3 linked regions of the Oryctolagus cuniculus genome follow. The protein of the gene in region 2 binds, or shares a complex with, the protein of the main gene of each other region. Links are inferred from orthologs where the notes say so. Each region holds a gene or a part of one and is shown on either strand. Other genes may lie near its edges.

Region 1 (3,644 bases), on a different chromosome or scaffold from region 2:
GAGCTGAACACCTGCAGGGACCCAGGGAGAGGTCAGCACAGGGGCACCGGGGCCCAATCCCTTCCCAGCAGAGCGGCCAAGGCACCAGGAGCAGCGCGGTGGCTGAGACGGACTGGGCTTTGGGATGACACTGACCCAGGGAGGAACTGGCTGCATGACCGGAAGTCCTCAGCCTTCCTCAACCCCACCACCGGCCTGCGGTGCCCATCCCTGCCCTGGCCTTCCACACCTCTGGGCCCGCCTCCATGCCTGCGTCAGCTCCTGTTTTTCAGTTCCCACTGAAGAAAGGTTCCACCTCGTGCAGCAAGCCCAGCCGCACCAGCCCCACCACCCGGGACTCGTCCTCTGCACTCGCACCGGCAGCCAGGCCCTGTTTCTGTCCCTCCACACCGCGAGCGACTGGGGGAGGAGACACTGCCGGATTCAGCTCCAGGCTTGGCACCCAGAAGAGGCACAGCCTCCGTGGGTGGGCGCTGGTGATGGCTGAGGCACAACCAACACACAGACTCACCCACAGGGGACTCACTGAGCGCCAGGAACCGTGTGACCTCCAGGGAGAAGGCCCTGCCCCGCCCGGGCGAGCCCTGCACTGGGCGTCTCCCACCCAGTCTCTCAAGCCCAAGTCGGAGCCCAGTGCGGGAATGATTCAGGGCAACCAAGTGGGGCAGCCATCTTACTTATTCCACCTGACACTGAGCCCTGCCTACGAACACCAACAGAAAGCCCCAGGATCTCCCACTGCAAATACCCCACACGAGGAAGCCCAGGACCAGGAAGTAGGGGGAACAGATGGTCCCTCCCAGCGAGCCCGCTGCCCCACGCCCTGCTGTGACGTCCCAGCAATGGCTGGCTACGTCTCCTCTTGCTGCTGAGCACTGACCTCTGGAAAAGCTGCCCCGCGCCGCCCTGGGGAGCACCGTGCTGCCTGCAAACCGACGCACGGCCGGGCCTGTGCTTTGCTGCTTCTCCCCTGCGCGACCCCAGGGCCTGCCTACCCCTGGGGTGCGGTCCCCGGGGTGCGTCGTAAACACGAGCCCGCTGGGAGCTGGCCCGTGAACCGACAAGAGGAGGGAGGCGGGAGGGAGGCAGGAGGCAGCCCCGCGGTTGGAGGCCAAGGCGACGGAGCCTTTCTGAGTCCCTCCTGCACCGGCTCCCGGGCTCTCACGCCGGGATTACCTTCACCATGGCGGCCTCGATGGAGCAGTCGGGGAAGCCGGGCTGGTCCAGCATCCCCGCGGTGAGGTAGGACATACTTTCCATCACGTAGGCCTTCTGAGCCATCAGTGCAAACTTTTCCTGGAGGATTAAACACACACACACACACCCATCAAGTCATCTGCTTAGCTGAGATCCAATCTGCCTATCAGCCGAGCAGGCCTTTACGTCAGAGGGCTCACCGCTCAGGAGAGCCGTGCCCCAGGCTGGCGCTGTGGTGTGGGTTAAGACGCCACCTACAATGTCAGTGTCCCTTATGCGAGCAGGGTCATATCCTGGCTGCTCCATTTCATATGCAGCCCCTTACTGATGTACTTGGAAATGCAGCAGAAAGTGGCTCTAGTGCTTGGGCACCTGAACCCACATGGGAGACCCAGATGGAGTTCTAGGCTCTCAGCTTCAGCCTGGCTCAGCCAGGACCATTCAGGTAGTGAACCATTGGATGAAAGGTCTCTCTCTCTCCTCTCTCTCTGTCTCTCCCTCTCTCTCCATAACTCTTTCCAAAAAAAAAAAAACAACCACAGAGCAAGAAGGGGTGGGGGAGAGTGAACTACACCCATGCTTAAATAAAAGGAAGGGACCTCATCATCAAACCTTATTCAGCCATCTTTGCACGCCCCGCATGGGAGTCACAGGTGCAGGGAGGGCAGACAGCACACTTTGCGTGTCTACAAAGTGAAGTCAAGAAGCACAGCACTCGTGAGCATGAGTACCTGAATTAATCCGAATTCACTGAGATTCTTGTTGAACTGCTTCCTCGTGCAGGCATATTCAGCGGTCATTTCTGCAGAAGAGCAGAGTTGTTACAAAGAACCAGAATATCTCTGGTTGGCCAGCATGGTCTCATAGGCTATCACCATTACCCTTCTGACACTCAGGCAGCAACTGGGAGACAGGTGTCTGCTGAGACCAATACCCCAACAACTAGAGCCCTCTTACAGTAGGCCGTGGTCAGGGACCTGGGTTAGAATCCTGCACCATCCTCAGCAGGCAGGAGGCGGCCGAAACGCTCATCTCCCTGAACACTGCCCGGCTTACTGAGTTGCTGCCAAGATGAAACCAGATGGAAGGTGAGGGATGCCTCGCACAAAGTTAGGGCCAACAGTGCCACACAGAGGTGGAGTGGCCCAGGCGTGGCACGGGTACTCACGTGCACGGCAGGAGGGCCTGGGCTTGAAGGCATATAGTTGAGCTCTGCAACCCCCCCCGCTGCTGCCAAATGCTCCCACAGGCGTGATCCAGTCTCCCAGAGGTCTCAGCATGAGTCCCTGCATCAGCACGCTTCTGGGCTGTGGGAATTCCTCAGAGGTTCTGCCTCCTTTGGAGAACACGCTGACCATGAAAGCCCCAACTCGGACACTAAGGGGTCTATCAGATGGGGAAGCAGAGGCCTCATGCAGGAAAACCCCAGACTAAGCCTGTGTGCGTCCATCTTGTCCTGACCGAGAGGTACGGTGCACTAAGGAACACGCAGTTCCTAAGCAACCTGCTCCGTGCAGTCAATCCCATGAGAATGGTGATGGGCTGTTTTAAGTTCATGGGCAAACGAAAATGTAGGTTTTCCATGTGCTGATAGCAAAGAACAAAGGGAGATCCAAGCTGAGGGACAGGGGAGGATCCCAGGCCAGTCACCTCTGGGACGGGAACCTGGGAGGGTCACAGCAGCAGCCCCTCCCTGCCCCTGCCAGGACGTCCTCCCTCGCCCCTGCCCTTTGTGTGCAGGAGAAACAGGAACGCTGAGATACAAGCCCTGGGGAGGACCTTCTTTGCTCTGAACCACGGATCAGATGCTCCACCAGTGCTGACCACCCAGCCAGGTGGCCCAGCTCAGCCACCCAAAGGGGAAGGGGTGCTGGGCATCAAAGCTTCCCAGAGGAGACACCAATCCCCCGGGGGCACAGTAGGGAGGGGATGGCCGTCTCCCAGGCTGCAGTGGGGCAGCAGAGGGCCCCTGGCCCCCACTTACCTACCAATCAACCTCTTGAGCATCCCGGCCACTGTGCTGCCCATGCTGAACCGCCCGCTGTTGAGGATGTTCATGGCCACCTGCAGAGATCCAGAAAGCTCAAGGGCACTTAAGAAGACAAAGGTCACAGACCCATGCCCCAGTAATTCCCCTGGTGGTATTTAAACTCAAGAAATAATCAGACAAGGGGTGGTGCAGAACAACAGGTTAAGCCATTGCTTGCAATGCTGGCATCTTACAAGGGTGCTGATTCGAGTTCTGATTATTCCACTTTCAACCCAACTCCCTGCTAATGTGCCTGGAAAAGCAGCAGAAGACAGCCCAGGTACTTGGGCCCCTCAACACACATGGGAATTGCAAATGAAGTTCCAGCCTCCTGGCTTCAGTCTGGCCCAGTCTGAGCCATTGAGGTCATCTGGAGACTACCGGCGGATGGAAGACCTCTCTTGTTCTTTCTGTCTCT
Region 2 (4,435 bases):
TCATGCCATAGAAGAGAAACAAGTCTTCCCTAGTGGTTCTTAAAGTCTGCTCCCTTTAGACTCATTTTGGCAGCCCTGAAAAATCCCCAAACCCGGGCCACATCCAGATATGCAGACTGTCTGGAGGGGGGCCCAGGCATCAGGATTTTATTTTTTTAATTATGTACTTGAAAGGCAGAATGGGAGAGAGAGAGAGAGAGAGAGATCAATTGATCGTTCTTGCATCCACTGGTTCTCACTGCCCCAAATGCCTACAAAAGCCAGGAGCTCAGAACTGTGTCCGGGCCTCCGGCGTGGATCGCAGGGACTCAAGTACTTCAGTCCTTCTCTGCCCCCTCCCAGGATGTGCACAACCAGCAGGAAGCGGGACCAGAAGCAGAGCAGCCGGGACTGGAGCCAGGCACCCCCGTGTGGGACGCTGGCGCCCCCAAGGCAGCAGCTACACCTGCAGCACCATAGCTGCCCAGGCAGCAGCATTTAAAGCACCCTAATGGCCCTAATATGCAGCTGGGGTTGATGCCTGACTCCACAGCCTGGTAGGTAAGCCCTGGGTTGGGACACTGCCATCCCATAAGCCAGTGCGTGGGCTTGCGTCCCAGCTCTGCTCTGCTCCCAGCTTCCTGTTAAAACCCTGGGAGGCAGGGTTACCAGAAACACAAAATCCTGGCCCTGACCCAGCCACGTGGCGACAGCTCCCACACTGACCCGCCCCTCTGGCACGCACCCGGCCGTCTCACCCTCGAACTAGCTCCAAACGGACACGCCAGCGCGAACGTGTTCCTCTGGCTCCAAGCCAAGGGCACCACCACTGCCAGTGGCTCAGGGCACACGCCGAGGAGTCAGTTCAGAGTGCCCTGCCCCTGCCCACACAATCCATCGACCGACCTGGGTGACCAGCTGCAAAGGCACCCATTTCTCCCCCTCTACAATCTATGAGCTCCTGCCCTTATGAGCTTCTCGCCAGTTCTCCCCATGGAGGAGGCTTTTAAAAATATTCATTTTGGGGCCGGAACTGTGGCGTAGCAGCTCAAGCCGCTGCCTGCAGCACTGGCATCCCATGCGGTCACAGGTTCAAGTCCCGGCTGCTCCACTTCCCATCCAGTTCTCTGCTGTGGCCTGGGAAAGCAGTGGAAGATGGCCCAAGTCCTTGGGCCCCTGCACCTGCGTGGGAGACATGAAGAAGCTCCTGGCTTTGAATTGGCTCAGCTCCAGCTGCTGCGGACATGTGGGGAGTGAATCAGCAGATGGAGGACCTCTCTCTCTGTCTCTCTGTCTCTCTCGCTCTGCCTCTGCCTTTCAAATAAATCTTAAAACACACACACTCACACATTAGGGGCACTGTGGCACCGCAGGTTAAGCCAATGATGGGACAGCAGCATCTATCATCAAATTGCCAGCCTGAGTCCAGGCTAATCTGAACATCAGACCCAGCTCCCTGTTCATGCACCTGGGAGGCGCCAGCTGACAGCCCAAGTACTTGGTTCCTGCCACCCATGTGGGGAGTGACTGGTGGATGGAAGATTTTTCTCTCTCTCTGACACTCTGCCTTGCAAATTAAATCTTAAAAAACAAGACCAGCGCCGCGGCTCACTAGGCTAATCCTCCGCCTAGCGGCGCCGGCACACCGGGTTCTAGTCCCGGTTGGGGCGCCGGATTCTGTCCCGGTTGCCCCTCTTCCAGGCCAGCTCTCTGCTGTGGCCAGGGAGTGCAGTGGAGGATGGCCCAGGTGCTTGGGCCCTGCACCCCATGGGAGACCAGGAAAAGCACCTGGCTCCTGGCTCCTGCCACCGGATCAGCGCGGTGCGCCGGCCGCAGCGCGCCGGCCGCGGCGGCCATTGGAGGGTGAACCAACGGCAAAGGAAGACCTTTCTCTCTGTCTCTCTCTCTCACTGTCCACTCTGCCTGTCAAAAAAAAATAAAATAAAATAAAAAATAAAAAAAAACAAAAAAACAAACAAAAAACACCACCACCAACAACAAAAACAAAAACACCATACATTAGTATAAATTAGGGCCCAGCACTGTGGTGCAGTGGGTTAAAGCCCTGGCCTGCAGCGCCAGCATCCCATATGGGCCCCAGTTCGAGTCCCGGCTGCTCCACTTGCGATCCAGCTCTCTGCTGTGGCCTGGGAAAGCAGCGGAGGATGGCCCAAGTCCTTGGGCCTCTGCACCGGCGTGGGAGACCCGGGTGGAGCTCCAGGCTCCTGGATCCAGATCAGCCCAGCTCTGGCCGATGCAGCCAACTGGGGAGTGAACCAGCTGATGGAAGACCTCTCTCTGTTTCTCTGTAATTCTGCCTTTCAAATAAATAAATAAATAAATCTTAAAAAAAAAAAAAAAAAAAAAAAAGTGGAGCAGCCAGGACACACACCCGTGGCCACCTGGGATGGCGGAGTCCCAGGCCAGCTTTACCCGCATGCAGGCCCCCGGTACGTTGCTTCTGAACCAAGGCCAAGTGTCCTCCAGTCCCAGAGACTCCGCACTTGCTTCTCCCTCCTCCGGGGAGCCGCCTCTGGCCGTTCAGGTCTCTATGCAAACGAGAGGTCTTCTACAAAACGGGAGACTCGGACCGTCAGGCCGCGGGGCACCTCGCAGACAACCTTTCCCGTCAGGTCCCCGCCCCCCCCACCCCAAAAGGTCATGGCGCCCTGGCTCTATAGCGCCGACTCCTTCTGAGCTCGCCATCCCGCCCTGCCGGGCCCGAAGTGGAACTCCCTGGAACCCAGCAAATCCCACGCGCCACCTACCTACTCACGCTGTGGGACGCGAACGGCGACCCGGCTCCGTCTCGCCGCTGGGCGCCGCCATGTTGGCTAACAGAGCTTCCGGGTCACGGGGCCGCCTGGGAGACAGCAAATCACGAACGTGGGTTTCTGTAGGTCCCGCCCACATGTGGAGAAGCACCAATAGGAAGGAGAATCACCCGCTCCATGACGCGAGAGATCACGCCCCTAAGACGGTGAGAGGCTCCCGCGACCTGGGGACTCGGAAAGTCTGGGCGGCCCGGGAAAGAGTGACGTGAACGGTCACCGTAGGGGCAGTGATGCTGGCTGTGTGCTCCTCAGGGTCCGCCAGAGCAGGCCGTGCCCGCGAGGGTGTGTCTGTGAGACACACAGCGAGTGGGTTCCTTGGGTGTGCAGCCCCCCATCATGACCCCCGTGTCTCAGGTCATGATGGCACCGAGAGGGAGGAGCTGGATGCTCAGGTAGAGCAGGTGCCTCAGGTGTAATCGGGGGCCACGGCACGATGGCCACGGCTGTTCCTCCCTGTGGTTCTGAGTCCTGACTAATGGGCGCCTCAGCCTGCCTCTGTGTTCGGCAGCCTCGCCAGGTGCAGGGGGCGGGGCACTGGAAGGGGCGTGGCCTGACTTGTCCCGCCTCCTCTCTGCAATGCTCCACCCTGGGTCTGCGCTGCGCGGGGGCGGGCAGGGGACCCCTCTGGGCAGCTTCTCAGCGTGAGATTGGCCCAGCTCCGGAGCCCCGAGGCAGCCTAGGCAGAGGTAGATTCGAGGCTCTGCCGCACCACCCCCCTGGCTTGGTTAGAGCTACCCAGAGTGAGGACGGGCAGGCCCCCTGCCGCCTTCAGCTCACAGACTTGGGCTCATGCCTCTGGCTATCTGCCCTGTGGTAAGTGGACTGCAGCTGGACGAGGCCGCAGTCACATTCACTCGGTCCTCTGCCCGCTTCTTATTTTTGTTTTGCACAAAAAGAAATTATATATTTGTTTGAGAGAAATCCCACCCGTTGTGGGAAGCTGTTCATTTGTCTTTTTTATTTTTTTTCCTTGAAAGTCAGAGTTACAGAGAGAGAGAGAGAGAGAGAGAGGTCTTGCATCCACTGCTTCACTCCCCAAGTGGCCGTAACAGCTGGAGCTGAGCTGATCTGAAGCCAGGAGCCAGGAGCTTCTTCCAGGTCTCCCACGCTGGTGCGAGGGCCCAAGCACTGGGGCCATCCTCTACTGCTTTCCCAGGCCACAGCAGAGAGCTGGATCGGAAGAGGAGCAGCCGGGACTCGAACCAGAGCCTGCAAGGGATGCCAACACTGCAGGCGACAGCTTTACCCATTAAGCCACAGCGCCAGCCCCCTGATTTGTCTTCTATTCCTTATCCCAAGCATCAGAAACAGGGCCTGGAACCTTCTAGGCACCGAATAGTTGCTACTGCTACGACTACGACTAATAATAACAATAATAATAATAATAAAGGAATGGATGAGTTTCTGAGGCTTAGTCCATCTTTGAACACCTGTCCCTTCTTGCTTCTGCCTCTGTCTGTTCTTCTGGGATTATGAGCTAAGCCCATGGGCTGCCATCTGCATAGCTGTGTATCCGCCCAGCCAGCGGCTTCCCCTTTCTCTCTGCAGACTCAGAATTGGCTGCTTTTCCTCACCAGTGGCTATGCCATCTTCCATCAGCCCCCAGCCCTTTGTCGATCCTG
Region 3 (2,970 bases), on a different chromosome or scaffold from region 2:
CTGTTTCTACCTCTTTTTGTAACTCTTTCAAATAAATAAAATAGCCAGCTATAGAGTTACTGAATTTTGAGTCCTACTGATGGTTACCTTGGTAGGTCCAGGCCTATTGACTTTACAGGTGTTAAACAGCTCAAGGGCCAGATGTTCTCCAACCCTGGAGAGAAATGGGTTGTATGTTATTTCCATACCTTGCTTTCATATGAACTTCCAATTTCTCCTTCAGAATTTGGCTCAACTGGCACTTTCTCCCCATAACTTCCCTTTTTACTTAAGTGATAGTCACATTCTCAGTGCTCCCACAAATTATGTGTGTAGTTCATAAAACCTTTTATGTGTACCTGTTTATTTTTCTTATAATTGAGAGTTCCTTCTGGGTAAGGAATAGTTCTTATTAATAAGTGACACAGGGCCTGAGGAATTAATTTATAACTACATAGATCAGACCTGAGGCTCCAACTGCTTTGTGCATTTAATGAGGAAAGAAAGATGAAAATTATTATTTCACACTGTTTTACATTTACTGAATTACTGAATATTTATTAAGTATCTGCAATATAGCAGGCGAAACAGAGACAAGTTCTCTGTCCAGAGTGACTTTCAATTTTTTCCACAATATCCAAGTACTCATCATAAAAAAAAAACCATTTTGCTGAATCAGTACCCATTCTTTGATTAATCTTCATGTACCGTTTTTGCAAGTGTTTTTTCAAACAGTGAATAATGCTGTAAACCAATAAGTACTCCAAACATTGTCTGAAAGACTAGAGGAATCACCATTGCTTTTATCTCTGTTTGACAAAGCAGCATCCAATGGAGTAAAACCCTTCCTTTCGGTGGCAGTGGAACTGTATGATATCTGAAAAAGAAAAAGAGTTAATCACGTCTCCTGAATATATCTTCTATCAAGTTTACTGATTTCACCTAAACTGATAATTTCCACTACAGGTCTATAAGGTAGATAGCAAAAAAAAAAAAAAGAAAAAAAATGCAAGAAAGAAAAAAACCCCAAAATTAGTTATTTGGAACACGGAACTAATACATTTTGATAGAAAGAAGAAAAGGAACAAACAGACTTACCTGACTGCCAGGCGTCCATTTTTAGAAAAAGCCAAACTAGAGGGATATAAAATACCACATACTATGCCAACCAGTGAACTTCTAAGGACACAGTTTTCCTTGCTTATGTTACCTGAAAAACAAAAGTAAATTTGGTTTATCTTTAAAAAACTCAGGATAAGAACCTTGAAGATAGTGTGGTGACTCATAGAGAAGTTATGTACAATATTTTCAACCACAGTGAAACAGTACAGAGTATATTAGAAATTCAAAGTCTATGGCATGTAACCAGCTAAATGAATCACATTTTAAAAGTGCTTTTATTGTGCTTCATCATTTGGAGAATTACCCCTTACATTTATGGTTGTTGAAGAAGGATTTTCATAAGAATCTGAGTACTAAACTAGCAGACCAAATCCAAGTTAATACATTTATCGTCTCCTACATGAAAGGCACGTGCTAGGGATACCATGGTGCAAAGACAATCCAATTTCTTACCTCTGGCAGGTCTACCACAGAAGAAAGAATCAGACAGATATTTAAGTGCACACAAGGATTTTACAGTAAAGTGTTTAGAGAATGTATCTAGAAACCTAACTTACACTAAGGGAATCAGGGAAAGTTTCTCTGCAGAAGACATTTAAGCAGGGACCTGAAGAATGAACAGGGGCTAGAGGCTCCAGCAATTACTGTGAAACTTGTGACAGATACTATTTAACACAGATATCATTTAACATAGAATTTTTTTTTATTTTTTATTTTTTGACATGCAGAGTGCACAGTGAGAGAGAGAGAGACAGGGAGAAAGGTCTTCCTTTTTCCGTTGGTTCACCCCGCAATGGCCGCTGCGGCTGGTGTGCTGCCGCCTGCACACCGTGCTGATCCGAAGCCAGGAGCCGGGTGTTTTTCCTGGTCTCCCTTGCAGGTGCAGGGCCCAAGCGCTTGGGCCATCCTCCACTGCACTCCCGGGCCACAGCAGAGAGCTGGACTGGAAGAGGAGCAACCGGGACAGAATCCAGCGCCCCGACCGGGACTAGAACTCGGGGTGCCGGCGCCGCAGGCAGAGGATTAGCCTATTGAGCCGCGGTGCCAGCCAGAATATCTTTTTTTAAAGATTTATTTATTTATTTGAAAGTTGGAGTTAGAGAGAGAGGACAGGCAGAGAGGCAGAGAGAGAGAGAGAGAGAGAGAGAGTCTTCCATCCGCTGGTTCACTCCCCAATTGGTCACAATGGCTGGAGCTGTGCCTATCCAAAGCCAAGAGCCAGGAGCTGCCTCCAGGTCTCCCACGCAGGTGCAAGGGTCCAAGGACTTGAGCCATCTTCTACTGCTTTCCCAGGCCATAGCAGAGAGCTGGATCAGAAGTGGGACAGTGGGACTTGAACCAGCACCCATATGGGATGCCAGCACTGCAGGTGGCAGCTTTACCTGCTATGCCACAGCACCGGCCCCAGTACAGTATCTTTTAATTCTCACAGCAATTCTATGAGATAAGTACAATTAGGGTTAATTCAGAGGTAACACAACTAAGGTTCACAGATTAAATGACTTGCTCGATATCACAAAACTTATGTAGTAGGAAGTAGAATCTGAGGTCATATGTGTTTATTCTTTCTCCAGTAACACTTTTATTTTTTAGTGTCCTTGAACTTGCTTCAGTTTGACTGCCTATCTATAAAAAGGAGACAATACTACTTGCTCTGCTTGATCAGAACTGTCATGTGGATTACATAAAACAGTGTGGGGGCCGACACTGTGGGGAAGCAGGTAAAGCTGCTGCCTGCGGTGCTAGCATCCCATATGGGCACCAGTTTGGGTCCCGGCTGCTCTACTTCCTATCTGGCTCTCTTCTATGGCCGGGGAAAGCAGTGGAGGATGGCCCCAGTCCTTGGACCCTTGCACCCAGGTGGGAGAA

Evidence for each region. The genes of interacting proteins can lie anywhere in the genome.
Region 1: the proteins of ECSIT (region 2) and ACAD9 are in contact, whole or in part, in a cryo-EM structure (PDB 8PHE), measured with the Homo sapiens proteins. The link is inferred for Oryctolagus cuniculus from reciprocal best matches to the Homo sapiens genes ECSIT and ACAD9. Residues at the interface, in NP_057665.2 of Homo sapiens: Pro321, Glu322, Glu323, Trp324, Asn325, Leu326, Tyr327, Tyr328, Pro329, Met330, Leu332, Asp333, Leu334; in NP_054768.2 of Homo sapiens: Leu180, Thr181, Asp188, Ala189, Ala190, Ser191, Ile192, Lys228, Lys239, Asp240, Lys241, Ile242, Phe293, Ala296, Met297, Leu300, Ile431, Met434, Tyr435, Leu438, Thr439, Leu441, Gln442, Gly445, Thr449, Leu516, Gly520, Lys521, Ile523, Met524.
Region 3: ECSIT (region 2) and TMEM126B share a complex: the UniProt entries of both Homo sapiens proteins name them as parts of the mitochondrial complex. The link is inferred for Oryctolagus cuniculus from reciprocal best matches to the Homo sapiens genes ECSIT and TMEM126B.

The regions. Positions count from the first base shown.
Region 1 is NC_091441.1:111,772,745-111,776,388, forward strand, and holds part of ACAD9 (complex I assembly factor ACAD9, mitochondrial), read right to left. Parts: intron 3,262-3,644; coding exon 3,186-3,261; intron 2,000-3,185; coding exon 1,929-1,999; intron 1,297-1,928; coding exon 1,177-1,296; intron 12-1,176; coding exon 1-11. UniProt on the Homo sapiens protein: As part of the MCIA complex, primarily participates in the assembly of the mitochondrial complex I and therefore plays a role in oxidative phosphorylation.
Region 2 is NC_091447.1:66,359,647-66,364,081, reverse strand, and holds the start of ECSIT (evolutionarily conserved signaling intermediate in Toll pathway, mitochondrial), read right to left. Parts: upstream 2,857-4,435; 5' UTR 2,748-2,856; intron 2,549-2,747; exon of another isoform or gene 2,372-2,548; intron 1-2,371.
Region 3 is NC_091432.1:76,713,965-76,716,934, reverse strand, and holds the end of TMEM126B (complex I assembly factor TMEM126B, mitochondrial), read right to left. Parts: intron 1,190-2,970; coding exon 1,078-1,189; intron 857-1,077; coding exon 673-856; 3' UTR 510-672; downstream 1-509. UniProt on the Homo sapiens protein: As part of the MCIA complex, involved in the assembly of the mitochondrial complex I. Participates in constructing the membrane arm of complex I.